4 linked regions of the Saccharomyces cerevisiae S288C genome follow. The protein of the gene in region 1 interacts with the protein of each later gene in a biochemical or structural test. Each region holds a gene or a part of one and is shown in the gene's direction. Other genes may lie near its edges. The genes, in order: STN1, POL12, CDC13 and TEN1.

Region 1 (7,112 bases):
TGATAGCATCAACGGGTATATCATCCCAAGCTTTTTTAATAAATTTGAATGCATTTGACATTGTGAGTTGACTCTGCTCAAAGCTAATCAAACATTTTTTACCATTGGGTATGCATTCGTTCCGTTCTGATTTATTTTTATTTTGGATATTCTTCGAAATTCTATTTTGCAAGTCAATGAGCGCCTGATACTGTTGTATTCTGTATCGTGTTTTGAATTCATCCCAGACACCCCAGTTAAATGGCAAAAACTTTGAATTTGAGGAAGTGTATACAAGTTTTATATTTTGAAGGCGCAAATTAATTATTCGATGACAGCAAGAATCATCCAAAACAATCCAAATCTTCCTATTCACAGCAACCAACCTCTTATCCCACCTGACTAACCAGTTGTGGAAAAGATTGCTCGTTAGCCATGCTTTCCTGTTACTATGGTATGAGATATCAAATTTCTTAGCCATCTTAGTACCCAACATTGATTGTGACACAGGATCATTCGGTTCATTGGGGAAATAATTCCTGAATGATTTGTAACTATCATATTTGCCCACGACAACAGGTTTTAACTTTTCAGAGCCATCTAAATTGGAGCACAGCATGACAGTTGCCACCTCTATACGCCTTTGAATGCTACTTGCTTCATATTGAGCATAATCCAACGGTAGGTTGTAGGAGAGAAACGCTTCATCTAAAGTGAATAAATCCTTTGGAGGAATTTTGGAGAAATAAGCCTTCAATACATCCCTCTCTTCAAATGTCCAGACTTTTGGGGTTTTGGGTAACTCTTCGTCTAAAACAGAAATATTGACATCCATTTTTGATAAAAAATTCGAAATCCATTTATAACTAAAAGAACCATTTCCCTCGCGATGCTCCGCAGGAATTCTGTGCCAAACAGCTTGTGCAGTGTCTTGAATAATAGGTGACGTTATAGGGATTCCATTCCACAAACTTTGAGAAATCCATTCTTGTAAAATTTTCCGAACCAAAAGATTATTTGGCTTCCTTAATCTATTCGCATCTTTTTCATGCTCTTTACAATTCATATAAGTTGATTTCCTTGCCAACAAACGCGATATTGTGCCTTGGGATGGAATTTTTGGCAGCTGGAACGTCTCATAAGCCCATTTTGCCAATTCAAGTTGCGTCCACTTTGGGTGCCTCTCCGCCATTAGACAAATATTATATCTTTGCTGAATGGAAAGCATGCTGGTTATAATAAAGCTGTCTCTTTACTGCTTGGTGTTACCACAAAATTCAAAACGCGAACTAGTCACGATTGATCAAACTTTGCTGATTTCATTCAAATCTTGCAACTGATTTTTAAGCAGCTATTGGTTTTGATAATTTCTTACTTTCAAGTAATTGACTTCGATGGGCAAAGTCACTCAGAACGGAAATATGCAGCAGCTATTCTAACAACAAAACCACGAATCACACCAAAAAGAAGTATGTAAAGGCATGGAAAAAGAAGTAAGCATTGGAATATATGAAATCCTGCTTGTTGATATTCCATTTCTGTGCGAAAAAAGAGCAATAAGCTGGCTTTTAATAATGGGTTGGAGCCATGGATAAGTACGGACATATAGCTCATCAAGAAGGCGATGTTTGTTATTATATTCCAAGGCTGTTCAAATACAACAGTTATTATAGTGGGACAGAGGACGTTCGAATATTTGTTGGAGATTTAAAGTACCGGATGAGAGTTTCTTTGCAAATTTGCGAAAAGTATTATGATAGGCGGTTGTCGATGTTGTTCTGGAAAAATCATCCTTTACAGCAAATACACCTTATTGGCTGCATCATTGGACTCCAGTTCAAATGGATTGGGAAACAAGAATACATTTTTTTTCAGTTGGACGATTGTACTTCAGACTCTTCATTGGTGGGTTATACTAGTGACATGAGATTCTTAACATGTAAAGTTAAGAAGGATAGCATCCTATCATGGGGGTTGAACATAACCGATTTGATAGGCTTAACTCTTCATGTCTACGGGCAAGCAAGTTTGAACTATCAAGAGCTTCAAGTTGAATATTTAAGATTATGCTACAGTTTAACGGAAGAAATAGATCATTGGAAAATCACAATGAACATGCGTGAGCAACTTGACACGCCTTGGTCCTTAAGCGATTTTGTAATTGGAGAATTGTTCACGCAAGAGCAAGAGTGGACACCTGAGACATCACAGATTGAGGTAGTAAACCCGGATTTTGTAGGTATAGGGTACAAAACCCCAGAAAGTAAAAGAAATGAAACTACTTTCATCGAGCAACTGCAAGAAGAACGCTTGAAGGATGAATTAGAAATTATTAGTCCATACAATAGCACAGATACTTCGAATAGTGTGCATTCCTTGTCATTTCGGTTTGTATCGTCGCTAAAGGATTTTCCTGAAACTCACTTTTTGAATTCAGGTGATCAAATTGACAACGGCAATGACGAACAGTTAAAAAAACTAGAATATCAAAGCGCTAATCTACCTGTGATGATTCCCAATAGGACATCAGCAAAGTCAAACTTGATGTTGATCCTATTAGGACTACAAATGAAAGAGATTTCTAATTCTGACCTTTACAAACTAAAGGAAGTACGCAGCGTAGTAACTAGCTTAGCATCGTTTTTGTTTCAACAACAAAATGTTGGCGTCATGAAATCTTTTGACTCTTTGGAAAAGGAAGCGTTTCGAGACCTGGTTAATCGTCTAGTCAGCCAGGGTTTGATCGGATTAAAAGATAAAACAAGTGAGACATTTGATTTGCTTCCTCTAAAAAATCTTTTTGAATATGCTGAAAAACGTATATCAGTTCTAATGAAGCTACAATGTTATACAGGCACTGTGCAATTAAGTCATGTTCAGGAAAAGCTACATTTGCCGTACATAACAACGAACGGCATCGTTGATGTTTTCAAAGAATGTCTTAAAAGGACAAAGAAACAGTATCCTGAGGTACTAAAAAATTGGTGGATTGATCTTGATCCGAAGAATGGTATGGAGGACCAAAACAGTGGAATATTATTACATTTGGAATACGCAGCAGCATATTCATAATTTGTTAGAAAACTCGCATCGTCAATAACGGCGCATCTCTCTAGGCCTGAAAAATTTTGCGATGAGCTCAAAATAAGATACTATAACTTTATGCATATATTGTATATATATTATATCAAACAAATAAGGACGTTAACGAAATTTTATATGGCCTTATTTAACGTAGAAGGTTGGTCTATTAAGACAAAAACCGTCGCTTTTGATAACAAGACTAATAAGTCTTCAAAAGATAAAAAAAAAAATAATAGAAAAAATGGCAAACTTACAAGAGAACAGAAGTTGAAAGAAGAGACAGAGGCTGAGTTGAAGGAACAAGTGGAAGACATTCCTTCCGAAGGATCAGTAGCCAAAGACATCCCAAAAAAAAACCAAGAGAAAAGTGATCAAAATGAAACGAGCAAGAAACGCAAGCACGATGAAGAAGCCCCTCTGATGCAAGTAAAAGAAAATATTGAAAAACCTACAAAGAAGCAACTAACCCCTTTACAACAAAAGATGATGGCTAAACTGACTGGTTCTAGATTTAGATGGATCAATGAACAACTGTATACAATTAGCTCTGATGAAGCTTTGAAATTAATAAAAGAACAACCACAATTATTTGACGAATATCATGATGGTTTTAGATCACAAGTGCAAGCATGGCCGGAAAATCCAGTTGATGTTTTTGTTGACCAAATTCGTTATAGATGCATGAAACCTGTGAATGCTCCAGGTGGGTTACCAGGTCTTAAGGATAGTAAAGAAATAGTTATTGCTGATATGGGGTGTGGTGAAGCTCAATTAGCATTAGAAATCAACAATTTTTTCAAAAATTACAATAAGAAAGCGAAGAAATATTTGAAAAGACGCCATAAAGTCCACAGTTTTGATTTGAAGAAAGCTAACGAAAGAATAACTGTGGCAGATATTAGAAATGTGCCGCTACCAGATGAGTCCTGTACTATAGTGGTCTTCTGCCTGGCTCTAATGGGTACAAATTTCCTCGATTTCATAAAAGAAGCTTATAGGATTTTAGCGCCAAGGGGTGAATTATGGATCGCAGAAATTAAATCAAGGTTTAGTGACGGCAAAGGTAATGAATTTGTAGACGCTTTGAAGCTGATGGGATTTTTTCACAAAAAGACCTTCGACGAGAATAAGATGTTTACAAGATTCGAATTTTTCAAGCCACCTGCGGAGATTATTGAAGAGAGAAGGCAGAAATTGGAAAGAAGACAAAAGTTTATTGAAGTTGAAACTGAGAAGGAAGAATTAGAAAAGAAAAGACGGAAAATTGCCGAAGGAAAATGGCTCTTGAAGCCCTGTATTTATAAAAGAAGATAACGACTTCATCCGTCATTTTCATATTTTAATATTGTTTTTTCTTTTGTATACTATATTTATACATATAATTGTATTCTTTTCCTGTAGTACATTGCGTAAAGTAAAAATCATCTAGAAGAAGTACTCCACAATGTTCACATGAGGGACAAGGTTTTATTGTCTCTGGAAAAACGATTGGATATTAGCCAGCCTTGAAAGATTTTCAAAGCCCGGAACAGAAGGAAGAGCGAACCAATTATTAGTATCTTGACCGTCAGATTGTCCACTATTGGGCTCCCATCTATCGCAACAACGAAATCCATACGTGTTCCAGGCGGTCAGACACATTGCAACAATGACCAAAATCAGGTAGAATATTTTCAGTCTTAAAAGACACAACACAGCGAAGACACCCCAGATTACGGGTGTCACATACATCGACCACCAGAATAACTTAGAATCGATGGCATTTATTGGTGGGCCCGGCGCATATTGCTTATATGATTCGAAAGTAAAATTAGAATCTTTGTTCACATCTGTAGAATCATACCACCAGCGTAATTGGACCAGTTTCCGACCTGTAATGTTTTTTGTTAAGTAAAAGTCAAAAGAAAGTAAAAGAACGACAGTGATGAATTGAGGTGTGAAATTCAAAAACATTGATCCTATGATATAAAATACAATGGGAACTGCCTTACCTGCCAGATGAAATGATAGTAGCAACGGGTGCGACGATTTTAAAATTGTGTTGTAGAAATTTCTTGCCTGGTCCATGTTTCATTCGTAATTAGAGCACCAGCAGGTTTATAAAAGCGTATTGAACCGTAAATCCTTTAAGAACCACGCTTTTCTACATTTACATTATGTACAGTTAAAATGGAAACGAAATCCCTTTTCACCCAAAGGCGCATTGCGGACAAATAATAGGTTCGAGGTCAAGGTAAACAGGAAGCAAGATGCAAAAGAAGTAACTGGAATGGAATGTATACATTGATATATAAATATGTATGACGCCTTCTATTGCAAAAAATAAACTGGATTATGTTACGTTAATAACTCAAATTAAATAATGTGTAAAGCACTTGCTGTTCTCATGGACAACCATCTCATTTTTTTTGTAAGAGTTAAGTTCAAGTTTGATCTCATTCATGGCACTATTCATGCTTGGATGTACTTTCATCATCCACAACAATCTGTGGCGATTCATAATGAATTCCGGATTAGCTCTCTCATATGCATTCGATGACCAAGTGCTTGCTAAACATACTTCTTTTGCAAACCGGACATCTTTTTTTATTGGTTTTGGAGGTGTTTCGACTTTATCAAATGAGGAATCTGGCAGCGAATTCCTTCTATCTTCGAATCTGATATACTCCCAGTCATTTCTCAACCTATTTACCATGTCGTTCCCAACATGCATTGGTAAGCTTATTGGACCTGACAGAGACTGTCGCAAATCTGTCGATATGTTGTAGAAGTATCGTGCAGATTCATTGTCATCTAATGAAGGCCTCTTGGACGATCTTGGTGGTGGTTGATTTCTCGTGTCGATTATATATTCACCGAGCTTTGAAAATTCTTCGATTATGGTCTTGTCGATCAAACCTTCATTGACATTATGCTTTTCGGTATCTCGAAAAGAAACCTTGCCATCGTCGTTGTGCGAGGTCTCGTGGAGCTTTTGTCGTATTTCTAATTGCCTTCGCCTCAAATCGTATTTATCATTTTCCTTGGACAACAGATCATCAAAAATTGAATCTGTATCCATTAGAGTTTCGTCGTCGTCAAATTCAATGCCGTCCAGATTTGCATCCATTAATTCAATATCATTCTCAGCTTCAGAATTTCCATCAGAATGCGTAACCATATCATCGATAGGAATTCTCCTTCTTTTTGTATCCTTTTTTCCATGCTTTGTATTCGAGTTTCCTGAAGTACGCCATAATTTCTTCAAAACAGAACCCAGTTTCAACTTCGATTGTGACTTTATACATCTATATTTCTCAGTGCCCAGAATAGTCTTTTTCTTTCTATCAAATAGGCCTGAATTAGTTGTTGGCTTAGTTTTTTCCTTAGTTGATAAATCCAATTTTTCTATATGGCTACCATGTTTTTCATTTACCGTATTTTCGAAGCAATAAGATATAGTTACAGTTTTATTTTCATAACCGTCATCATCATCAGTTTGACTTTCTGGCAAGCTGGTCAGGGTATTAACAGCAGATATCGGAGAGGTTGATGAAACCGAACTTTTTATTGTTGAAGGAACTGAAGTGTTCAGCTCCAAGCTATTTACACCGTAGCCTGTATCATTGGGAGGAATATGTATGACTGATGTCCCATTATGAGGCCCCACAAAATCTTTTGATAAATTGCGACCTTTCTTCTCGCTGAATTTGAATAAAGAAGAGTCTCTTGAATTTAATTCAGGCTTTTTCAAGCTGTGGGTGCATTTTCCATCAAGTTTTGGCTTGTATATTTCGCCATTGGGAAATTGAAAGCTTCTTTTCATTTTAGAGCGCTGCAGTTGATAAGGTGTTAATTCTTTATATACTCCGAAAGTGTACTGTGGCTTCTGGTATTGGCTCACATAATCTTGATCATTATTGAACCCCTCATGGTAAGAGTTTCTTTCCCTAACTGTGAATAGCGCAGTTCTCTTTCTTTGCTGGGCGGCTGTCATTGAACAGGACCTTACTGGAAATTTTCTAGCTGCTGTCACAGACCTACAGTCTATCTCGCCACTATAAATGTGT
Region 2 (8,731 bases), on another chromosome or scaffold:
GCAACATTCCCAAAGATAATCCAGAGGAATTTGTCACTGTAATAAAGGAGGTGCAGTTGATTGAGTTGATTTCAAGAGCTACCTCGTCGTTGAGGACAACGTTATCATTAACTGCATTACTTTTCCTCAAGAGGCTAATCCATATCCTAAACGATCAGTTGCCCCTATCAATATTGGACCAAATATTTGTCATTTTCAAGAACTTGTTATCATCTACCAAGAAAATCTCTTCACAAACTGCATTTCATTGTTTAATTACTTTGATCATTGATATAAATCATTTCCATAATAAACTATTCCAATTATCTTTTTTATTAATAAATGAGAAAACCGTAACACCGAGATTTTGCTCTGCAATACTGCTGCGTAGCTTCCTGATTAAGTTCAACGACTCCAATCTTTCGCTCAACAATTCAAATACAACTTCGCCAACCTCAAAGTTGGAGAATAACATCATATACATCGAAGAATGGCTAAAAAAGGGCATTTCAGATTCACAGACAACCGTTAGAGAGGCAATGAGGTTAACTTTTTGGTATTTCTACAAATGTTATCCTACAAATGCCAAAAGATTATTGAGTTCTTCCTTTTCTCCACAGTTGAAAAAAGCAACAGAATTGGCAATCCCTGCTCATTTGAATATAAACTATCAAGTTTCCAGGGTGTCCTCTACTGCCTCCGCCTCCTCTGCAACGTCTCGATTGTACTCTCACTCTTCGAATAATTCTTCAAGAAAAACCAGTTTACTGGAGCAGAAAAGGAACTATCCAAGTTATGCCCAACCGACTCAATCTTCCTCCACCTCCCTACTCAACGCTCCTGCAGTCACAGCTGGTGGAAGTGTCATAGCCAGTAAACTATCAAATAAGCTGAAAACAAACTTAAGGTCTACTAGTGAATATTCAAGTAAAGAAAATGAAAAAAGGGCAAGGCATCATGACAGTATGAACTCTGTTTCAAACAGCAACACCAAAGATAATAATAATGTTACTAAAAGAAAAGTTAGTGCCCCTCCTTCTTCTACTGCCGCCACAAAAGTATCTGAAAATTACACAAATTTTGATGACTTTCCGTCAAACCAAATCGACTTGACTGATGAGTTATCAAATAGTTACTCTAACCCGTTGATAAAGAAATATATGGATAAAAATGATGTTTCGATGTCATCTTCTCCAATCTCATTAAAAGGCAGTAATAAACTTGGTGAATATGAAACCCTTTACAAAAAATTCAATGATGCTTCGTTTCCAGCTCAGATCAAAGATGCTTTACAGTATTTACAAAAGGAGTTACTGTTGACATCGCAACAGTCATCATCAGCCCCAAAATTTGAATTTCCCATGATTATGAAAAAGCTACGCCAAATTATGATAAAGTCACCAAATGATTTCAAGCCATTTTTGAGTATAGAGAAGTTTACAAATGGAGTTCCCTTAAATTACCTCATTGAGCTATATTCTATTAATAGTTTTGATTACGCGGAAATCTTAAAGAATAGAATGAATCCTGAAAAGCCCTACGAGCTTACTAACTTGATTATAACTATCGCGGATTTATTCAATTTCTTGAATGCCAATAATTGTCCGAATGATTTCAAACTATACTATATGAAATACAAAACCACTTTTTTCAATTATAATTTCAAGTTACTTTTAGAGATTTTCCGTAACTTGAACATAAAACATGATAACACTCTGAGGTCAGGAACGAACGATCTCATGCCTAAAATATCAATGATACTCTTTCAAATCTACGGTAAAGAGTTTGACTACACATGTTATTTCAATCTAATTTTTGAAATTTATAAATTCGATAATAATCGTTTTAATAAATTGCTAGCTGATTTTGACATTGTATCTACCAAGATGAAAATCTGTCATGAACTTGAAAAGAAGGATGCCAACTTTAAGGTAGAAGACATCATTTCTAGAGAAAGTTCTGTAAGCTTCACTCCCATCGACAATAAAAAATCTGAAGGGGATGAGGAATCCGACGATGCTGTAGACGAAAATGATGTTAAGAAATGCATGGAAATGACAATGATTAATCCCTTCAAAAACTTGGAAACTGATAAAACACTAGAGTTGAAGAATAACGTTGGAAAAAGAACATCAAGCACAGACAGCGTAGTTATTCATGATGATAATGACAAAGATAAAAAGCTTTCAGAAATGACGAAAATAGTAAGTGTTTATCAACTGGACCAGCCAAACCCAGCAAAGGAGGAAGATGATATAGATATGGAAAATTCTCAAAAATCTGATTTGAATTTAAGTGAAATTTTTCAAAACAGTGGTGAAAATACCGAAAGGAAATTGAAGGACGATAATGAACCAACAGTAAAATTCAGTACAGATCCTCCAAAGATAATAAATGAGCCAGAAAAACTTATTGGAAATGGGAATGAGAATGAAAAGCCTGATTTGGAAACAATGTCACCAATCAAAATAAACGGGGACGAGAATATGGGTCAAAAGCAAAGGATCACAGTAAAGAGAGAAAGAGACGTAGCACTAACTGAACAAGACATAAACTCCAAAAAGATGAAACTAGTTAATAACAAAAAATCAGAGAAGATGCATTTGCTTATCATGGATAATTTCCCAAGGGATTCCTTGACTGTATATGAAATTAGTCATCTTTTAATGGTTGATTCTAATGGCAACACTTTGATGGATTTTGATGTCTATTTCAATCACATGTCAAAGGCAATAAACAGGATAAAAAGTGGATCGTTCACTATGAAACATATAAATTACCTGATCGAACCCTTGATTACTTGTTTTCAAAATCAAAAAATGACCGATTGGTTGACGAATGAAAATGGTTTTGATGAACTACTGGATGTTGCTATTATGCTTTTGAAATCTACTGATGACACGCCTTCAATTCCATCAAAAATATCCAGTAAGTCCATAATTCTCGTTCATTGTCTTTTGGTTTGGAAAAAGTTTCTAAATACACTAAGCGAGAATGCCGACGATGATGGCGTTTCGGTGAGAATGTGTTTCGAAGAAGTATGGGAACAGATCCTTTTAATGCTTAATAAATTTTCTGATTATGGAAACGAAATCTATAAATTAGCGCAAGAGTTCAGGGACAGTCTAATGTTATCGCACTTTTTCAAAAAACATTCGGCAACAAGAATTCTAAGCATGTTGGTTACTGAAATTCAGCCTGACACCGCTGGTGTGAAAGAAACATTTTTAATTGAGACCTTATGGAAGATGCTGCAATCTCCTACCATTTGCCAACAATTCAAGAAATCTAATATATCAGAGATTATCCAAACAATGAGCTATTTCATTATGGGGACTGATAATACTTCGTGGAACTTCACCAGTGCCGTGGTATTAGCTCGTTGTTTGAGAGTCCTCCAAACTACTCCAGATTATACTGAGCAAGAAACCGAACGATTATTCGATTGTTTGCCTAAGAATGTCTTTAAAATGATCATGTTCATCGCCTCAAACGAATAGAGAATAGCGTGGTAGACGCGTAATTTTTTTTTACCGTGACGCGTCTCACCAGAGTTTCTTAGTTCTTTCTCTTTTCTAAAACTGTAATAATATGAGCTCTTTGTAGACACATATAACATTTTGTTTCATATACATAATATATTTGCATATAAAAATATCAAGATAATTGATTGTCAATTGGTTCAACAAAGCTTGAAGGTAAATTTAGGCAGGAGCAAGTGACTGAAAAAAAAAAAAATGAGCGGATCTATCGATGTCATCACTCATTTTGGGCCTGATGCAGACAAGCCGGAAATCATCACTGCATTAGAGAATTTAACTAAACTGCATGCATTGTCCGTCGAGGATCTATACATTAAATGGGAGCAGTTCTCCAATCAAAGGCGTCAAACTCACACAGATCTGACTTCCAAGAACATAGATGAGTTTAAACAATTTTTACAATTACAAATGGAAAAGCGTGCTAACCAAATTTCATCGTCCTCTAAGGTAAACACATCCACAAAAAAACCAGTGATTAAAAAAAGTTTGAATTCAAGTCCCTTGTTTGGCCTTAGTATTCCAAAGACTCCGACTTTAAAAAAAAGAAAGTTACATGGTCCCTTTTCACTCAGTGATTCCAAGCAAACATATAATGTAGGCTCTGAGGCAGAAACAAATGAAAAAGGAAATAGTTCTTTAAAATTGGAGTTTACTCCAGGCATGGCAGAAGATGCTGTGGGTGACAGTGCTCCATTGTCCCACGCTAAAAGCTCGGATGCCAAGACTCCCGGCTCGTCGACATTCCAAACTCCAACAACAAACACTCCTACCACATCGAGGCAAAATGTTCCTGCTGGTGAAATTTTGGATTCTTTGAACCCTGAAAATATTGAAATATCATCTGGTAATCCAAATGTAGGCCTTCTTTCGACTGAAGAACCATCATATAACCAGGTCAAAGTAGAACCATTTTATGATGCTAAAAAGTATAAATTCAGAACAATGAGGCAAAACTTACAGGAAGCGTCTGATGTCCTCGATGATCAAATTGAATCGTTTACTAAGATTATTCAAAATCACTATAAGTTATCTCCAAACGACTTCGCTGATCCAACTATTCAATCTCAGTCCGAAATTTATGCTGTTGGAAGGATAGTTCCAGATTCGCCGACCTACGACAAGTTTTTGAATCCAGAATCGCTTTCCCTAGAGACCTCAAGAATGGGCGGCGTTGGAAGAAGGGTAAGGTTAGATCTATCGCAGGTCAACGAGCTTTCGTTTTTCTTAGGCCAAATTGTGGCATTCAAAGGTAAAAATGCTAATGGGGATTACTTCACCGTTAACTCTATTTTGCCGCTACCTTATCCAAACTCCCCAGTGTCCACATCGCAGGAACTGCAGGAGTTTCAAGCAAATTTGGAAGGTTCTTCTTTGAAGGTTATCGTGACCTGTGGCCCATACTTTGCAAATGATAACTTCTCCCTCGAATTGTTGCAAGAATTTATCGATAGTATAAATAATGAGGTAAAACCTCACGTCTTGATAATGTTTGGCCCATTTATAGATATCACCCATCCTCTGATAGCGAGTGGTAAATTGCCAAATTTTCCCCAGTTCAAGACACAGCCCAAAACATTGGACGAGCTTTTTTTGAAGTTATTTACTCCTATTCTAAAAACCATATCACCACATATCCAAACCGTATTGATACCCTCCACAAAAGATGCAATTTCTAATCACGCCGCATATCCACAAGCTTCTTTAATTAGAAAGGCTTTACAGCTGCCTAAAAGGAACTTCAAATGCATGGCTAATCCTTCATCTTTTCAAATAAATGAGATATACTTCGGTTGCTCAAACGTTGATACATTCAAAGATCTAAAGGAAGTCATAAAAGGCGGTACTACCTCATCAAGATATAGATTAGATCGTGTTTCTGAGCATATTTTACAACAGCGCAGGTATTACCCCATATTTCCAGGTAGTATTCGTACAAGAATAAAACCAAAAGACGTATCTACGAAGAAGGAAACCAATGATATGGAAAGCAAAGAAGAAAAAGTTTATGAACATATATCTGGTGCAGATTTAGACGTGAGTTATCTGGGACTAACAGAGTTTGTTGGTGGGTTCTCGCCTGACATAATGATTATACCCAGTGAATTACAACACTTTGCAAGAGTTGTCCAAAACGTAGTTGTTATAAATCCCGGAAGATTTATTAGAGCAACAGGTAACAGGGGATCCTATGCACAAATTACTGTCCAATGCCCTGATCTTGAAGACGGGAAATTGACGCTTGTTGAAGGTGAAGAGCCAGTTTATCTACACAACGTGTGGAAGCGCGCTAGAGTTGACTTGATTGCTAGTTGATATATTTAATTCAAACTTAACTAATGGAATAGCTCAAGGTAGCACCAAAAAGTATTGTTATACACCTGAACTATCGACCTTGAAACTGGCTCTATAACTTACTTATTGATTAAAGACCATAACATGATCAGTATCCGGGTAATAAAGTAACGTGATCAGAGGCCAGAGAAAATGTTCATAAGTAGAGACTACTCTTAAATGCATAATAAAAAAAAAAACTGATAGGCATCACTCTTTCCTTTTTGACTAAGATTCCAGCATCACATTGCAATATGTCCACTGGTATTACTTATGATGAAGATAGAAAGACACAATTAATTGCCCAATACGAATCTGTAAGGGAAGTTGTGAATGCAGAGGCAAAAAATGTTCATGTTAATGAAAATGCCTCCAAAATTTTATTATTGGTTGTTTCGAAATTGAAACCAGCTAGCGATATACAAATTCTTTACGACCATGGTGTGAGGGAGTTCGGGGAAAACTATGTTCAAGAGTTGATCGAAAAGGCAAAATTACTACCAGACGATATCAAGTGGCACTTTATTGGCGGTTTGCAAACGAATAAATGTAAAGATTTGGCTAAAGTGCCAAATTTATACTCTGTTGAAACAATCGACTCCTTGAAGAAAGCCAAAAAATTAAACGAATCGAGGGCTAAATTTCAACCAGATTGCAACCCAATATTGTGTAATGTTCAAATTAATACCTCCCATGAGGATCAAAAATCGGGCTTGAATAATGAAGCAGAAATATTTGAAGTCATCGACTTCTTCTTATCCGAAGAATGCAAGTATATTAAGTTGAATGGGTTAATGACTATTGGTTCATGGAACGTCTCTCATGAAGATAGCAAAGAAAACAGAGACTTTGCTACGCTGGTTGAGTGGAAGAAGAAGATTGATGCTAAATTTGGTACATCATTGAAATTGTCTATGGGGATGAGTGCTGATTTCAGGGAGGCTATAAGGCAAGGAACAGCGGAAGTCAGAATTGGTACCGACATTTTTGGTGCTAGACCTCCAAAAAATGAAGCTAGAATCATTTAGTAGGTTGAATGAACTGAGATTTTATACGAAGATCTTTTTTTTTATAGCATTACAACACAAAATGAAAATAAATAGAATCTCAAATATATATATATATGTGTGTGTGTGTTTATATATGTACAATGCGGATGATTTTCATTATAGTGAATTTGAGAAAATTTTACTTCGTAAGCACATTCTTTATACATTCGACAATGTACTTCGCCAGGGGACCGGCCGTCGTTGTTTTACAGGTAACATTAACTGTTCCATTTACCTGGTATTGTATCTTCATTAAACAACCGAAGTTTCCCTCACTTTTCGTATGAATAATACCCGAGACAAACAATGTACTACGAACACTGGTCTGATCGACTATATCAAAGCCCAACCTCTTCACTGTTTGCGTCAATAGTAGAAGTCCGTCTTCTAAACTGATTGTTTCAACTTTTCTAAAATCCTTGTTGAGCTTTATGCCAGATTTTTGGTATTCTCCCTCTTTTCCCAAAGCATCGCTCAAAGTCTTCCAACGGCTGATGAACTGTGCCAAATTCAAATGCATGCTAGGATTGACATCGCTGCTAATTAGTGTTGTAGTCATGCCTATGGCAGTTTTCAAATTGATAGTGTTTGTACTACCGCCACATTTGAAATGAATTGCCAAAATTGGACTATCTTCAACGTCGAAAGGTTTTCTTATTGAAACTTCATAGCTTTGCTCTGCCCTTTTATGGGGCCCAATAGTAGCAGTAGAAGGTGTATTAATATTCATAATTAAATACTCAGGATTACCTTGCGTTTTTGAAGGGATAATCTGTGTGGATAATCCCGTGATTTCCCACTCAGTCAGGTTAATGAAGGCAAGAGATATATGAAACACGTATGGCTGTTGTGCATCAGGAGTGGTTATCCGATAGAAAACTTTCATCAAAGATGATGTGAAAAGCACACCCTGCTTATGCGAAATCATTCTTGTGAAACCTTCCCTCCAATTTGGAGCGAGGATCTGCCTTGAATAATAAGAGTCCTTTCCTGAAAAGTCTTCAGATGAACTAATTTTGGAATTTACATCATCAATGGTGTTCCTACGAGATGGTGGGGGCATGGGAACCATGATCGACCTGGAAGAGTTTGCTCTTTTTGATAGTAAGTCAGGCGTGGAGGAGGATGCTTCGGATGGTGTATTTATTAAAGTTGTGCTACCCGCTGATGCCGGCAGTGACCCTAATCTCTTCAATAATGGATTAGATTTGCTGTTAAAAGGCGGCATTGGTTCAAATAAAATTTGCAAAATATCTGTATTTCCGTTCACCTTAGCCAGTTGAATAATGTTGAGATATTCGAAGGATCTTGTTTGCAACTCAATATCAAGAGAGTTCAATTCCAATTGGAAAAATTTGATGACGTTGGAGCCGATCTCAGGTGAGGTCTTGTACAACTTGATCATCGTAGTCAATATCATCGCCTTAGCCACATTTGGTGCACTAAAATATTTCTCGGCAAACAAAGTAAATAAATTTGCGCTTGAAATCCTGTCTGTTATGAGACTTGAGTACTCCCCTAGTAGAAAAGCCGCAGCTTTAATAATAGCTTCAGATGCTTGCTTTTTACATAAATAGTCCACCAACCGTTCACATGTTATTCTATGTAAAGATGGATTGTTCACTACAATTTGACATAGTCGTTGCCAGATCTCATCATCGTTAATAGTTGTATTTGAAGTTAATGATAGCAACTGCAACGAAATAATTACAAACCAATTGATATCCGTGGCATATTTCTCGGTCAAAATAGCTATTTTAACTGCAATATCAGATTTTATTTGCGGTTCAGCAAGATTTTTCGGAGATAAAATATACTGCAGTAAACCGT
Region 3 (9,694 bases), 550 kb from region 1:
GATAGCACTGAAACAAGCTCCTTTGGAAGCATGTTTTCAGGTGATAATACTAGTGACGTAGATATGGAAGATAGAAACCTTACCGAGTTCGACAGTACTGACACTAGTCTGTGCATAAACGGCGAACCGAGCATTCATGTAAATCGCGTGGAAAGAAGCAGCAGGTCTACCGACAATTTTCACAATTCTAAAAAACGCATGAACAGCAATCAGGAAAGATGTCATGATGAGGGCAATGATATGTTACAGAGAAATGTCTTGGAGACAGATTATGCAAGAGCAAAAAATCGAATACTTGCGTCAAAGATAAAACAATATGAGCGGTTACGTTTTTACAAGGACACCTTTACATTATGAATTCCTAACGTTGCTCCAATGACGCTGCAATAGCTTATGTTTATCTGCAACGTACTTTTAATAGTTATTCCTTCTTGAATCTCTATAAGTATATCTATACCGGGTGACAATTTGATATTTTCGTACGCCGTTATGTGTTGGTTTTTGGTCTTACTGATAAAATGGCATCGAGCTTACAACTGAAGAGAAAGACGATGCATCAGTCAACTTAATTCTCTAATAAAACAGACAGCATTTCCTCGGATCCATTTCGTACATATAAAATCCGAAGCTTTTCAGGACAAAATACTATTTTTCTGTCACTACTAAACGGGATAGTACTAAACGGGATAGTAGAGATAGCTGCCAAATAAGATCAAGAAATTGTGATTTTAAATACTTTATACGAAGATGGTGTACACAGGATTTGGTTTGGAGCAGATAAGTCCAGCTCAAAAGAAACCTTATAATGAACTAACTCCGGAAGAACAGGGTGAACGGGGTGCTGAAATGATCATGAACTTCATGACTTCCTGTCCTGGAAAATCAGTTGTGAGTGGTGTAACAGGGTTTGCACTGGGTGGTGTTTTAGGCCTGTTCATGGCGTCAATGGCATATGATACACCTCTTCATACACCTACACCTGCAAATACAGCAGCAACTGCAACTGCGGGAAATATAGGTGTGGGTGGAATATCAAGAACAGTTCAGCAAATATCTGATTTACCTTTCCGGCAGCAAATGAAACTTCAATTTACCGATATGGGTAAAAAATCCTACTCTAGTGCTAAGAATTTTGGCTACATTGGTATGATATATGCTGGGGTGGAGTGTGTCATAGAGTCACTTAGAGCTAAAAATGATATTTACAACGGAGTAACCGCAGGGTTTTTTACCGGTGCTGGGCTGGCATACAAAGCTGGACCACAAGCTGCCTTAATGGGTGGTGCCGGGTTTGCTGCCTTTTCAGCTGCAATTGATTTGTATATGAAAAGTGAGGATGGTAGACCACCTCAAAACGATTTTAAAGAATGAATAGCCAATTTCGACGAACGATGAATGTTTTATATTTGTAAATATCACCTATCTTAATATTCTGCACGACCGTCCCAGAATTTAAGAACGCTTAATAATTTCCAGAACTACTGTTACTAGTAAAGCAAAAAAATTCCCTGGGAGAATTAATCATGCTTTAACTAGACTCTGGGCCGATCATTTTTGCTGGAAGAAAATGGGAAGTGTAAAAACGATACCCTTTCCAATTTTCCCATGTCGATGAATTCGAGGCGTTAGAGACTGTCGCTAAACTCAAGTGATAGTCACACTTTAATATTAATAAATTGGAAGATTTCAGTCACATATTTGACAGAGGAAAATATAAAAATAAGAAGTAATAAAAGTAAATCATTATATATAAAAAAAATTAAGCATTATTCACACCTGATAAGGATTTTCTAAAAGACGACGCCATTATTAGAACAGGAGCAATTCAAATCGTTAAGCAAAGAAAAGAAAAAGAAAAAGAAAAAGTATGTGAAGGGTATAGACGAACAAAAAGGAAATCATTGAATTTATGGCATTTGATTGACGTTCCTGTTTGGTTCTGCAGTGCTACCACTCATAGCGCCAGAGTGAGCTCCTTCTGTGACCTTTTCTTGATAAGACCGATCACCTGACTCATCCGTAGAGTAAGCGTGCTGGTCCACTGCACTGTTAGCGACATTCGCAGAACCAGGATTACGATCGTTGGTGGTGTAACGCGTCTTAGGGTCCGCTGTTGTTGTGGTGTAACGTGTGTTGGTGGTGGTAGTATGGTACTGCCCATTGGGGTCATTAGTTGCATAGCGTGCGTCGCCATTCGGTTCAGATGTGTAAGCAGCATTATCACCTGCACCTGCTTCGACATCACCGGTCCTAACATTGGTGTTATCGTAAGCAGCTGTTTCTTCAAAAGGCTCGCTTAAAGCTAGTCCGCTCCACCTATGGAGCTTTGTACCCATAGAAGCGCCGCTTCTCCACATTCCTTGGGTTTGATAACGCTTCCTGATAGGTGTTAAGACATTAATTCCCAGTAATATCACACTGATCAAAAACAGTACAAAGCAAAGGCCAGAAAAGGCGATTGCCGCCTGAGAAGAATTACATGCTCTTCTATGACTGTCAGCAGTATATTGGCCACTGTACGGATTATAGTATAATCCGTCTGCATTAGTGTTGCTACAGCTACGTTCACCTTGAGCTTTGGCAAGAACAACGAAAGCTGCTAGCCATAGCATACAAACGATCAATTCGGCACAGAAGTACATTCCTATGTAGATCAATGTGGGTAGGGCCAGACACAAAATACCTAAGGCAATCAGATAAAACACACTAATGACACCTGTTGCCAATGTGAAGTTGGTTTTCTTATTACCTCTATTTCCATAGGCGTGGATGGCATACGCCAAAAGTGACATCACCAAAACCGATGATGCAAATTGAGAAAATCTCAAAAGTGTTAAGAAAACTCCAGTAACTCGTTTCATAACGTTGATATAATATATCTATTTGGTTTATGTTCCTCAATTGAAAAAAAAAACCGTAAACTTTCGTACTGAGAACATCAAAGCATAATGGTAACGGACGCTTTGTTGAACCTTTTTATACGTTGTCTTTTAGGGAATGTTAACCAACCATCGTCATCCCTTAAGATACGGTTTCAATATCCCTTGGAAACCAAATATACGTTAAAGTCATCAACGAGTATGCTTACTGGTTTATTAGTAACACAAACCTCAAAATCTCCTTAACTATCGTCAATTTAAGGGTATATATCCCCTTTCTCATTGTGCGTTTCTTTTTCCATGCCAGGTCAATACTCTCCTATGACTGGAAATACACTGTAAACATGCTTTTAGCCCTCTGGATTAGTAAGACTGGCAGGGCATCGCTTCGCCGTCCCTTTTTTCACTTTTACATTTTTTTTTTTTCATTTTCGCCCTTAAAGTTTTTTAAAGTTGATTTACTTACTTTTATGTAAAGAATATAAAACAATTCTAGACTTTCTTGGCGAAGGTTATTGAAGGAAGCGTGAATTCAAAAATCCATCACAGATATTTTGTATTCATTTTTTTGGGGAGGGCTCCTCTCCGCTCTACTCAACTTCACTGAGAACATAACATGGAAAGATTTTGGTACTTTATCTTGCGAAAGAAAGATTGCAAATAATGTTTGCTTTTTATTTTCTTCTCGTATATATCTATAAGGTCAATCTTATTGGTCACTGTCAAGAATGATTGTAACGGGCCCTTCATTAGTTAAAGAGCAACTCATCATTGCGCCGAATTCACCATCCTTTACTTTTTCCTCACCCAAATCACTTCTTAGTAATTTTAAGAATTCTTCATAAAGTTCTTTAGCTATATGACCCTTTTGGGCCAAATGGAAATCGGGTTTAGTTCCCTTCTTGGTTTTTGCCATCAAAGTGAATTGAGACACGGATAGAATTTCACCATTGGCCTCTTTAATATTCTTCTTCCATAGATTTCTGGATTCATCTTCGAAGATTCTCAAACTAAGAACCTTTTTCGATAATTTATCTATCTCCGCCATAGAATCATCAATGGAAATACCTACTAGGAGCATATAACCATGTTTAATACTGTCACATAGATAGAGGTGTTAGTAAAAAAAATTGGTGCACTAACGAAGCTGAAAAAACCGGTAACATACCTTGAAATAACTTTTGAATCGACGACTACAGATGCTTGGCTGACTTTTTGTAAGACAATCTTCATTGTAAATCCGCTGCTGAATAATATGTGGATTATTTAATATGTACATGCAGCCTTGATTAACGTGATTATACTTTTTAAACCTTTGATATCCAAATTTTTCAACGTCATAAGAGACGCGAAGGCCTAGTGAGATGCGAAATGCTAATTCAAAATGGAAATTTAAGAATATATTCATATATGTTTCTCTTTGGATACGAATGACCGTGGAAACTATCGCCTAAAAATGGATACCTTAGAAGAGCCTGAGTGTCCTCCACATAAAAATCGTATTTTTGTGAGCTCGAGTAAAGATTTTGAAGGCTATCCCAGCAAAGCAATAGTTCCCGTGCAATTCGTGGCGCTTTTAACCTCAATACACCTGACTGAAACAAAATGTTTGCTAGGCTTTTCTAATTTTGAGAGGCGAGGAGATCAATCCCAAGAAGATCAATATTTAATCAAACTGAAGTTCAAAGATAGGGGCTCGGAGAGGTTAGCCCGGATCACTATTTCCTTACTTTGCCAATACTTTGATATTGAACTGCCAGATTTAGATTCTGACTCAGGCGCATCCCCAACAGTAATACTGAGAGATATTCACCTTGAAAGGTTATGTTTTTCAAGTTGTAAAGCTTTATATGTATCAAAACACGGGAACTATACTCTATTCTTAGAGGACATAAAACCGTTGGATTTGGTAAGTGTGATAAGCACCATATCTACAAAATCGACAAATAGCAGCAAGCATTCGTCATCAGAACTTATTTCAGAATGTGATTTGAACAACTCACTTGTGGATATCTTCAACAATTTAATAGAAATGAATAGAGACGAGAAAAACAGGTTTAAATTTGTAAAGTTGATTCACTACGATATAGAACTAAAAAAGTTCGTTCAAGACCAACAAAAGGTATTATCGCAGAAATCAAAAGCCGCAGCAATTAATCCTTTCTTTGTGCCAAATAGACTAGGGATACCTTACATTGAATCCCAAAACGAATTCAACTCGCAGCTTATGACGCTTAATGTAGATGAACCGACCACAGATATAAGCAACATGGGAGAGGAAATGCATGACAGCGCAGATCCCATTGAGGATTCAGATTCCTCAACTACCTCCTCTACCGGGAAATATTTCAGCTCAAAATCCTACATCCAGTCACAGACACCTGAAAGGAAAACAAGCGTACCAAATAATTGGCACGATGATGATTCCGGAAGCAAGAGGAAGAGAAAGCTTTCTTTCCACAGTCCGAACGCGTCCTCAATCCGCAAAGCCATCAGTTATGAGCAACTTTCCCTAGCTAGTGTAGGCTCAGTTGAAAGGTTAGAGGGCAAAATTGTTGGCATGAATCCACCTCAATTCGCCAGTATAAATGAGTTCAAATATTGCACATTGAAATTATATTTTACGCAGCTCTTACCAAATGTCCCAGACAAGGTCCTGGTGCCAGGCGTCAATTGCATTGAGATCGTTATCCCGACGAGAGAGCGAATCTGTGAGCTCTTCGGTGTTTTAAACTGTCAAAGCGACAAGATATCGGATATTTTACTACTGGAAAAGCCTGATCGAATTTCCGTCGAAGTTGAAAGGATCCTGTGGGACAATGACAAGACCGCCAGCCCAGGTATGGCAGTATGGAGTTTGAAGAACATTAGCACCGACACGCAGGCGCAGGCGCAGGTGCAGGTGCCTGCGCAATCGTCGGCGTCAATCGATCCGTCTCGCACAAGGATGAGCAAAATGGCAAGGAAAGACCCCACCATCGAATTCTGTCAGTTGGGACTCGACACTTTTGAGACCAAATACATAACAATGTTTGGCATGCTAGTCTCCTGCTCGTTTGATAAACCTGCCTTTATATCTTTTGTCTTTAGCGATTTTACCAAGAACGATATCGTCCAAAACTATCTTTACGACAGATATCTAATAGATTACGAGAACAAGTTAGAGCTGAACGAGGGCTTCAAAGCCATCATGTACAAAAACCAATTCGAAACGTTTGACTCTAAGCTCAGAAAAATATTCAACAACGGGCTAAGAGATCTACAGAACGGCCGCGATGAAAACCTTTCGCAATACGGCATAGTTTGTAAGATGAATATAAAAGTGAAAATGTACAACGGCAAATTGAATGCCATTGTGCGCGAATGTGAGCCGGTCCCGCATTCCCAAATAAGCAGCATCGCCTCGCCTTCACAGTGCGAACATTTAAGATTGTTCTACCAACGAGCGTTCAAGAGAATTGGCGAATCCGCAATTTCACGCTATTTCGAAGAGTACCGGAGGTTTTTCCCCATACATAGAAACGGTTCTCATCTCGCGAAACTGAGGTTCGATGAAGTAAAGCATGAACCAAAAAAATCACCCACTACACCAGCTCTCGCAGAACACATACCCGACCTGAATGCAGACGTGTCCTCCTTCGATGTAAAGTTCACAGATATATCTTCTCTCTTGGACTCCTCGGCTCGCCTCCCGCGCCCACAGCAAACACACAAGAGCAACACATTATACAGTTGCGAGGGCCGTATCATCGCCATCGAGTACCACGCATCTGATCTCTGCTTCCATATCACGAATGAGCTCCCACTTTTACAAACCCGCGGCTTGGCCCCGGAGCGAGTGTTGCAACTACACATCATTACCTCCAAGAACTTTGCTTATTTTTTCAACCGCTCAAGCGCCTACTTACAGCGTCAGCCTCTTGAGGAAAAATATACGCAATTGGCACAATTTCTCGGCCATTCATTTAAATTCAATATAACCTCCTCGCTCACGCTGTTCCCTGACACTACCGTGGCACTCCAGATCTGGTGCCCAATTGAATGCACCTTTCGGGAATTGCAACAACAGCTGGCCCATCCGAAGGTTGCAGCGGCTCCTGATTCAGGGAGTCTTGATTGCGCAATTAATGCTACCGTCAATCCTCTGCGACTTCTTGCCGCGCAAAATGGCGTCACCGTGAAAAAGGAGGAGGATAATGACGATGACGCCGGAGCCGTTCCCACCTCGTAAGACATGATCCGCGCAGCCCAACGCGGCGGTGCCAAATTGCAGTGACGTCTCGGAGTAATATAAAAAAAAAAGACCAAATAACCAAATTTAAGGGTGCTCTGAATATAAGGGAGTGGAACGTTTTCACACGAAGGAAAAGGGAAAGAGGGGAGTGGTAAGAAGCAAGAGTCAATGAAAGGTCTTCCTTCCTTCTTGATGCTAAAACAAGGATAGTCTGGAATGGGGAGGAGCATTCGGCGCAGATGCCGACATATAAAAGGATGGTTGCTTTGCAACAGTTACTTGATCTTGCTTTGTTCTCTTGATTAGTTATCCGTTAGATGCAAACTTTAAGTACAGTAATTTTGAAGTGAATTAAAAAGAAAGAGGTATTTACGTTTAACGCTTATACTTTCCTTTTTATCCAAGTAACAAGTAACACTAATCACTATAATCTACCGCTATGATTTTCAAAAGGTTCGTTAATTTGCTTGTGTTTTTATTCCTACTCGGTGCTGGCTTATTGACGTTTTTTCTTATTCTGTCAGGAGGCAGAGAATCTGGAACGCTGAAAAATTTTTATTGGTTACAGGCTGATACAAACGGCTTTAACAGCGCTCCATCGACCACGAGATGGTACAATTACAATTGGTGCGGCTACGAAGACGGCCAGCTAGCTAATTGCTCTAGCAGGGCGCCCGCCAAGCCTTTCTCTCCCAGAGACAATTTTGGTAACTCTGTCAATTTACCATCGTCGTTCAGAAACAACCGGGATACCTACTATTATCTATCCAGGGTTGGATGGGCCATGCTGCTGATTTCCCTATTTTTCATCGTACTGGCGCTGGTACCCGGCTTTCTGGCTACCTTCCTTCCTTTCAAGGCAGTGCCAGTCCTGTACTGTGTGTTGTCCTGGTTGGCCTTTTTCTTCATTATATTGGCTGCATGCTTGTACACAGGTTGCTATGTGAAGGCCAGAAAGACCTTCCGCAACAGCGGGAGGTCTGCAAGGCTGGGACCCAAAAACTTTGCGTTCATCTGGACTTCGGTCTTCTTGATGCTCGTGAACGCCATTTGGTCCACTATATTCAGTGCTACCCACAAGGCCCACTCTACCTACTCGGACCACGACATGTATGCCCAATATGAAAGCCCTTCTGTTGACACCGGTGCTCAAATGGAGAAATCCACTTACAATAGTGGGGCGACGGACGGCGCGGGCCCTATCACAGCCGCACCTGTGGTTGGACAGCCTCAACCTACAACCACCACTACTCCGGCTGGCAATGGCAAGTTCTTTCAAAAACTGAAAACAAGAAAGCAGGTGCCATCAGCTGAGTTAGAACCAGCTGGGGATGGTGGTCTTGCCGGGCCAGTGACGGTACGCGACTAGGAAGGAAATAATCACCATAAAATACTTCCTAATTTTTTTTTTCTTCCTACATTCGCAGTACCATAACTCTGCATCTACCTCCAACCGAAATATTTTTTTGTGACATGGTATAATCCATATGTATCGTGCTGAAATTTTTTCTTGGAGATTTTCATTTATTCTCCACCATTCTTTCTCGCCTCCCCTCCTCCTTTTCCTTCTAATAATAACTTAGTTCTTTTTCCTTCTTCATTAAAGAGACTAAGAAAAAAAAAACGTCAATAATACCCGGCACCTTAGTGTAATTAATAGTAATAATATTGAATTTAATTCTTTAATAATACCACCCCCTCAAGAAAATTAATATATAATACTAACTAACTCAAAAACACCTTTTTTTATATGTAACTGTAGAGATAAGAATAATACCGAACACCGTGAAGATTTCCCAGTGGAGAGCTATCAAGAATATCACCCAACCCAAGATATGAATATGAACGAGTCCATTTCCAAAGATGGTCAAGGCGAAGAAGAACAAAATAATTTTTCGTTTGGTGGTAAGCCCGGTTCCTATGATTCCAATTCAGATTCTGCTCAACGCAAAAAGTCTTTCAGTACTACAAAGCCGACCGAATATAACTTACCAAAAGAACAGCCCGAATCAACGTCCAAGAATTTGGAAACCAAGGCTAAAAACATTCTGTTACCTTGGAGGAAGAAGCATAATAAAGACTCGGAAACTCCACACGAAGACACTGAGGCGGACGCTAACCGCCGTGCCAACGTAACTTCTGATGTGAACCCTGTTTCTGCCGACACCAAGTCAAGTTCTGGCCCTAATGCTACTATTACTACCCATGGATACTCTTATGTCAAAACAACGACACCCGCTGCTACAAGTGAGCAATCCAAAGTGAAAACGTCACCTCCCACTAGCCATGAACATTCAAATATAAAGGCGTCCCCCACTGCGCATAGACATTCCAAAGGTGATGCAGGGCATCCAAGTATTGCAACCACTCATAACCACAGCACTTCCAAAGCTGCCACTTCTCCTGTTACTCACACGCATGGTCATTCCAGTGCTACCACTTCCCCTGTCACTCACACACATGGTCATGCCAGTGTGAAAACCACATCTCCTACCAATACTCATGAGCATTCTAAAGCGAATACTGGTCCATCAGCCACTGCAACTACACATGGACATATCAACGTCAAAACTACCCACCC
Region 4 (7,203 bases), on another chromosome or scaffold:
ATCTGAACTATCATTACTCGAAGAGCATTCTTTATGGACTTTCTCCAAAATTCCCTACTTTGAATGATACCGCTTTTAAAATTGTCCTGGACAGTACGAAGGGCACCATAGACGTATTTTACAATCTTTGTGTCAATAAAAAAATTGGTTACACGTGGGTAGCAGTTCATAACATGTTCATGACAGGTATGACTTACCTTTACGTAAATTTTTACTCAAAAAACAACATAAATGATTGTCAAGAAAAAGTGTCAGAGTACACTGAAAAAGTGTTGATAGTACTGAAGAATCTGATAGGTTTTTGCGAATCTGCGAAAACCTGTTACACGAGTTACAAAATTTTATCATCAGTTGTAATAAAGTTAAAATTTATGCAAATAAATGATGCCAAAGGGATATTTTCGGATTCAAATCCCCTAACCTCTCAGGCAAACCGCATGTCAAGTTATGATAAAAAAACGAACGTACTTGGTTTTGACGACGGTACTTTTGATAACAAGGTTTTTAATAGAACCAATTTTGAAGAAAAAGCACCTTTTGATATACCTCTAGATGAATTTTTTACCGAACTGGAAAAACACAGCAATGTTTCCCAGTTTAATACTTTAGATGTAAGCGAAGGTAATCAAGTGATAAATGAAAGTGCTTCTACAAATACGTCTTCTGCATTGAATTGCCAGTCGTATACCAATAATCAAGATATCATGGATATCCTTTTCCAGGTTACTTCGGGATCTGTATGGGATGAGTTTTTTGTCAGGTCTGGTAACGGAAACGAAGGCGAGTCTTCTTACGATATCAGTAAAGGAAAGAACTCTGAATCCGGTGGAATATTTTAGCGATAGCTCGAAGAATCATGATCAATGGATTGAAAGTAGGGCCACCAATGCTCTTTTCAATCTATTTTTTGAAAACATGAGAGTCCTAAAAGAGCTAACTTAAATGACCGGGGCAGATTAATTGAAAAGTTTGAGGTTTTTGTGATAATCTTCAAAGTTGAACGCATGTATAAAATGATAGAAGCAACAGTCCATTGAGAAGTATGCCACTATAGTCATATATATATATATATATATATATATATATATTTACGTATTAATTGATAAACTATAATACCAACGGCACTTGATACTTGAATTCATCTTACATTTCCAGTGATGATTTTTTTTTCTGGGACTACGCTGATAAAGAAAAATTGCAAGAACTGAGAAACCACTTGTTTTGTATGGCACTTTGACTTTCGAATAACACATAATGTTCGTTATCAACTGTTTAAAGTCGATAAATGTATAATCACTGCTTTGACATAAGTATATAACATTCCGAGCAGAAATAAATTCTCTTAACGCGTTCTTGTAACTCCATAGAGGCTCTTTGGAACTTTTCGTTTGACGCTCACACCTTTTATTTCGTTAAAGTACCGTTTTGCCAGATCCTTGCCAAAAACCAAAAATATTTTTCTATAAAATAATCCACAGGCATTACACAATGTCACCTCTCCATCAGGACCCTCTCTCCATTGCGGAGAAGTTTTTATCACCGCACACTGTGGACATCTCCTGGTGACGCCTTTCCTCTTTTGGACATTGTGCTGAACAACAGCAGTATTATTCGTTGTGACATACAAAGATGCACTAATGGGTTTAGCAGTATTGATTTTTGTTTGAGAGTGAGGTTTTTCGCAGTCTATTGTCTCCTCTACCGGATTCAATAACGATTCAACGGAGATTCTTTTATATTCTGGATGACACAAAGTCTTAATGTTCATAGCAAATTCTTCCTTCTGGCTTTATATTTGCTTCTAGTTGATAATTGTTTACATTTAATGAAATTGTTTCAAATCAAGAAAAGGTAAGATAAGCTCCCTCAAAGAACCTCTCGTCTTATAATATACTCTTCAAACAGAGCAACAAATATTAATTAACATGCTCGACCATTTGTTCTTTTCCATCAAATTGGACCCTAGACCCTTAAAAACATAGATATGACTGAAGAGGAGGTTTTTGACCTCTAGCCTATTATTCCATTTTACAGAGAAGCCTACTTATTTTCTGTGGCAGGCGGCTAAGCAGGTAATGTTGTCCGCATTTTATCAGAAATACTTGCCAAGAAAAAAAAGGGATTTTCATATAAGGGGATTTTCTACAGGTGTTTGTGTGAGTATGTATTGCACCAAATAAGTACTGTGTTAAAGGTTTTGTTGATGCGTTTTCATCGGGGTTAATAGCGTCTAATCCTTCAAGGGAGCTGTAAGTGATACTTTCATTATGCAAACTAAAGAAAGCTGAAGTCCTGGTACGCCACCTGGCACTTCATCTGGCTTCTTTTATTTTTTTATACACAGAAAATAACTTACTTACACTTTTTTTGGAAATAAAACCATTGTCTCGGGGAACATATACATATATATATATATATATATATGTATATAATACCAACTGCAATAAAAGAAAAGAGTCATATTATAAGTATAATTTTGAATGTTCTGTGCATTTTTCACTGTCGAATAGCTTGCTTGTCATGCCAAATAATGGGTTAAATCGCTGTGTGCTGACAATGTATCAAATAATACTTCCCCTAATTGAATGTGTGGCGCTATCCGTATATCCGGACCCTTTTTCAGGGCCGGTCTTGGCATGAAAAAATGTCAGAAGCATGAGTAGAATTAAGTCGAGAACAAACTAATATGAAGGGGATGTTTAATGTAAAAACGTATAAAAAGGCCATGTTCGAGGTGGATAATAGAACAACATTCTATGAAGACGGCAGCTTCAAGACAGAAAATATTCATAGAGATTAAGAGAAAAAGTCTCGAACATATTCAAATGAAGACTGTCTATTACAAAGAAATCACCTACCAGCAGTATCTTCAACTGCAACCTGAACAACAGGAAAAATACCTGGCTTTATGTCAAAAAGATTTTGAACAAGAGACTGAAAGAATTGCATTTGATCGTCAAGGAGGTGTGCCTGGTATTGCTAGGAAATTTGCACAAGAAGAAGTTGCTTGGTTCGATCGCGTTACAACATGGTCATATATGAATGCTTATATTCCGAGCTACAGAAGAAGAAGAAACCTTTTAAAGATTGATATGTTAAAGATGTCTAATGCTGAAGAATACTGAGAATAATTTCGAGCGCCGATCCAAATATTAGGTTTGCTTTATCTTTTTTTATGAAATAAGTTCATGAAATATGAATACTATACCACTACGCATATATATATTTTAAGAAAATTTTCGAATGAAACTTGATGAAATTAGTCCATTAAAAGTGTATGGGTAATCGAAGAGCCCAAACTACCGTTAGTATAATACTTTGTACTTTGTACTCAATACTTAATACTAATTAAAGTCTGGATTACAGTGTCCTATGATAATTGTGTTAGCTTTTCATCTTTTATTGCGACTACAGTTAAATTTTATGGTTTATTTATTCCTCGTTGTTTCGATGCACGATGCGAGTAATTGCAGGATCTCTTCATTGTGCACGCTGAGTTGTGGTACAATGTCCTCGGGTAACGGTATCGTACCTACCGGTATTTTCACCGCCACTCCACCTATAACATTCATCTTCAAACCATGTAGTACCTCTTGAAGTTGGTCATTACACTTACTACCGCCATGACCGCCGTAGCTTACCACCAGGGCAGGTTTTCCGTGCCATTCATGGTAAAGACGATCAATTGCATTTTTTAAGGCTGCTGGATACCCCCAATTATATTGAGGTGTAACGAATACAATAATATCTAATGCATTTACGATGCGACTCCACGATCGAGTTTTGCTGTCTGCATACTCATCCACGCTCTTTATTTGCGCAGGGATCAGTTCGTCATCATCTTCATATAAGGGAAGAGCAATCTGTTGTAAATCTACTACTTGTATTTTCAGCTTCTGGTCTATTAATTCTTCGCTATTTTCAATTGTACGTTTTACGTATGCTGCAATTTCTGGGCATACCCTCTTTGCCCTCACAGAACCCATTATAATACCCACTTTCATGTTTAATGCGGTTGTCGACTAAGCACCTCAGCTGGTAATGGAGATGACCAAGTAACTAATTAACAATTGATAGATATACAACTTTCCCTTTTCAATAGGCATGTCAAATCTTTCGATTTTTTTTGATTTTGCACCTTCTTTGATTCATATTTACATTCGTAACCATGTGAGATGCTCAAATGTTATGATACTGACGGGTAATAAACAACGGGGGCACCACTCAAAGAAAAAAGCAGCTTATCTGTAGAATCTACACAGGGTTATGCCAAGAATGGAATTACAACAATTGCCTTGAATTCAAATCAGATACAAAAAATAGCATAAAATAGTAGGGTCAAACAACAGACCAAGACGAGACTGTAATCATCATGTTGTAATAAGAATCATGTATTAACTATCGACTAGTATTCATGTCAGTAGTATATACTGTCATATACAGTGTAACGTGGGGACATTAATTTTGATGACTTTTTTATGTCCTCACGTTACACCGCATGTGACGGTATACTGGTAACACAAATACTACTAAACAGATGGTATTTTACAGTTTCATTCCAACAAAAGCATGAAGTGTAATTAAAAAAATGCTTTCTTGGCTTGTATTCATCTAATTCATTTGATCATAGCATGTGCTCTATATTGTAATGGCCAAGCTCGGCGTTAAAGTTTTTAGTTGACATATTTATCATCTTGTGTAATATTTAACATAAAATAGGTTAAATTATTGTATCTCAAAATGAGATACGTCAGCCTGACAATACATTATCCTAAACGTTCATAAAATACATATGAAACAATCCTATAACAAAACGAACAACATGAGATAAAACCCGGCCTCCCTTAGCCAAACTACCCAAACATATAAATGCCTGAACAATTAGTTTAGATCCAAGATCCGTGCTTCCACCATTTAGTATGATTCATATTTTATATGATATAGGACAGTTAACATTCCTTGAATCAAGCTGATAATCCGTTTTGACAACTGGTTACTTCTCGAAGACTGTTTATATTAGGATTGTCAAAACACCCCAGTATTATTTGGGCTCGTAATATGATATAAATCAATAGTCATATGGCAACTTGGCCGAGTGGTTAAGGCGAAAGATTAGAAATCTTTTGGGCTTTGCCCGCGCAGGTTCGAGTCCTGCAGTTGTCGTTATTTTTTCTTTTTCTTTTTTTTTTCTCTGAAGCAGAGATGGAGAATAATGAATGCCCTTATTCTAGGACATAATTCACTATATTGTATTGGTTACATACAGCTCTATTTGCTCTTTTTAGAGAACTACGACAGTGTTATATGAGCCAGTTAGTTCTAGACTTAAAATGTTTGAAGGATAAAATAGCAACGAATTACGATATTCATAACAATGTTTACGGTGGAAACGGAATGGAACCAAACATTATTCATCCGTCCAAAAGATTCAGGATTGTTGTTCGATTAGTAGATTTCTTGTTCTGTAAATCGGATGAAGAATTCATTAAAGGTTTTTTCTGTCAAATGATAGTTAGAAATCTTCATTGCCTCAATTCAACAAATGGCGCAGAGGAGATGCGTTTGTATATGAGCGAAAGATTATTTTCAGCCCATAAAGATGATTTGAGATTGATAAATGGGCAGGTACTGGATGTTCGCATTGGGGTATGGTATGGAATACACCAAAGTCCGCCAATTTTTGAAATCATTGATTTTAAGATACTATCCAGGAATGACGTTCGTGATTTCTGTGAATTTGTCAAATCACCACTTGGTGAGAAGTTTCTGAACATCTCTAACTCCTAAGTCAGACGTTTGGCATATACTGAGATTATATAATACCTTTGATAAGAATGTAAGAGGACCCTTGAAAATAGTTATTGTAATGTTATGTAATGTAAATAATAGTATACAGGTGATTCTTATTTATCCCATGAAATAAGTATGAGAAAAGAAAGGAAAGAGGCAATTAGCCCGGTTCTGTTCTAACTAAAAAGCAATTTTCTTTGTATTTCTTCTTCTGTTCTTTAGCAGAATCTTTTGCTTTTCCAATTGTTCTTCCTCTTCCTCGTCACTGTCGATTTCCATATCCTCCTCTTCTTCTTCAGATTCCTCTTGTTCGGATACTGATTCAGCTCTTTCTTGTTCTTTAGCCAACTTTCTGGCAATTTCAACTTCTCTGATTCTCAATAATTCTGGGTTAGATTCGACCAATTTCTTATCTCTTAAGAAGTCCTTTTCTTTGTTACCTCTCATTCTATTCTTGTAGAAGGCTCTTTCACGTTTTTGTCTAATTTCTTCGATTCTAGCCATAGCCTTCAAAGTTGTGGCAACTAACTCTCTATTGTATCTAACAGGGACATTTCTTCTTTGGGCAAAAGTCAAGGTAGAATCCACAGCCAATTCTTTTCCGGCAGCCTTTCTGAAAGCTTTGGTCCATTTTAGTTTTCTTGGGTTACGACGTTGCTTGAATGCCTTGTGACACTTAGAACGGCAGAACCTAAACTCTTTAGCATCGTTACGCACAAACATGATCCCATGACCTGGATAACATGGGGATGAGCAAAAATGGCATTGATAAATTCTCATTTTTTTATACTTACTAAACTTCTACTTCCTTTTCCTTTTAGTTTCTGAATGTAAATCACGGGGAGGTGGTGGTAACAATATGGACAACTCACGCTTGAATAGCAATATCTTTCAAATCACAAGTCGAAGAACTTAAAAGTGGTATATCACGGATCAAGATAGAAACTGATGTAAGTTGGAGATAGGGTGGGATGAGATGAGATGAGTTTAGAAATACATTATTTAATAAAAGACGAGTGAAAATTTTTCACTCCGCTGAGTTCGAGGCGAGCGGGCAAAAAATTTAAAGAGCGAGAATCGGACCAAATGTGAAAGCCATTTGAATCAACGTAGGACTCACTCGACGGAGACCCTTGAACTAGACAAAGTACGAATAGTAGTGGAATTTGTACGTCTCCACTGGCCGAGCACAGTTTAATAAGGTTGCATAAACACTTCCACCCGCACAATATCATGAGTTCTCAAAGTAATACTGGTAATTCTATTGAGGCACCACAACTACCCATTCCTGGTCAAACTAATGGCTCTGCGAACGTTACTGTTGATGGAGCTGGTGTTAATGTCGGTATCCAGAATGGTTCGCAGGGTCAAAAGACCGGAATGGACCTTTATTTTGATCAAGCTTTGAACTAC

Evidence for each region.
Region 2: the proteins of STN1 (region 1) and POL12 form a complex in vitro, tested with the Saccharomyces cerevisiae proteins (one study listed by BioGRID).
Region 3: the proteins of STN1 (region 1) and CDC13 form a complex in vitro, tested with the Saccharomyces cerevisiae proteins (2 studies listed by BioGRID).
Region 4: the proteins of STN1 (region 1) and TEN1 form a complex in vitro, tested with the Saccharomyces cerevisiae proteins (one study listed by BioGRID).

The regions. Positions count from the first base shown.
Region 1 is NC_001136.10:608,875-615,986, forward strand, and holds STN1 (Stn1p), read left to right. Parts: upstream 1-1,566; coding exon 1,567-3,051; downstream 3,052-7,112. Other genes in the region: PDC2 (Pdc2p), read right to left, coding at 1-1,207; RRP8 (25S rRNA (adenine645-N1)-methyltransferase), read left to right, coding at 3,199-4,377; TVP23 (Tvp23p), read right to left, coding at 4,531-5,130; AFR1 (Afr1p), read right to left, coding at 5,414-7,112. UniProt on the Saccharomyces cerevisiae protein: Has a role in telomere length regulation and telomere end protection. Acts as an inhibitor of telomerase loading through its interaction with CDC13.
Region 2 is NC_001134.8:148,596-157,326, reverse strand, and holds POL12 (DNA-directed DNA polymerase alpha subunit POL12), read left to right. Parts: upstream 1-3,716; coding exon 3,717-5,834; downstream 5,835-8,731. Other genes in the region: STU1 (Stu1p), read left to right, coding at 1-3,479; YBL036C (pyridoxal phosphate homeostasis protein), read left to right, coding at 6,107-6,880; APL3 (Apl3p), read right to left, coding at 7,041-8,731. UniProt on the Saccharomyces cerevisiae protein: Non-catalytic component of DNA polymerase alpha, which in a complex with DNA primase (DNA polymerase alpha:primase) constitutes a replicative polymerase.
Region 3 is NC_001136.10:59,660-69,353, reverse strand, and holds CDC13 (telomere-binding protein CDC13), read left to right. Parts: upstream 1-4,335; coding exon 4,336-7,110; downstream 7,111-9,694. Other genes in the region: COP9 signalosome catalytic subunit RRI1, read left to right, coding at 1-357; translocation channel protein TIM22, read left to right, coding at 748-1,371; YDL218W (uncharacterized protein), read right to left, coding at 1,908-2,861; DTD1 (D-tyrosyl-tRNA(Tyr) deacylase), read right to left, coding at 3,589-3,976, 4,048-4,112; FMP45 (Fmp45p), read left to right, coding at 7,553-8,482; HBT1 (Hbt1p), read left to right, coding at 8,949-9,694. UniProt on the Saccharomyces cerevisiae protein: Single-stranded telomeric DNA-binding protein that regulates telomere replication. Has a role in both positive and negative regulation. Promotes [TG(1-3)] strand lengthening via interaction with EST1.
Region 4 is NC_001144.5:165,904-173,106, reverse strand, and holds TEN1 (Ten1p), read left to right. Parts: upstream 1-5,304; coding exon 5,305-5,787; downstream 5,788-7,203. Other genes in the region: PPR1 (Ppr1p), read left to right, coding at 1-839; GAT3 (Gat3p), read right to left, coding at 1,343-1,768; YLR012C (uncharacterized protein), read left to right, coding at 2,826-3,125; LOT6 (flavin-dependent quinone reductase), read right to left, coding at 3,429-4,004; RLP24 (ATPase-activating ribosome biosynthesis protein), read right to left, coding at 5,971-6,570; PAM18 (Pam18p), read left to right, coding at 7,024-7,203. UniProt on the Saccharomyces cerevisiae protein: Has a role in telomere length regulation and telomere end protection. Acts as an inhibitor of telomerase loading through its interaction with CDC13.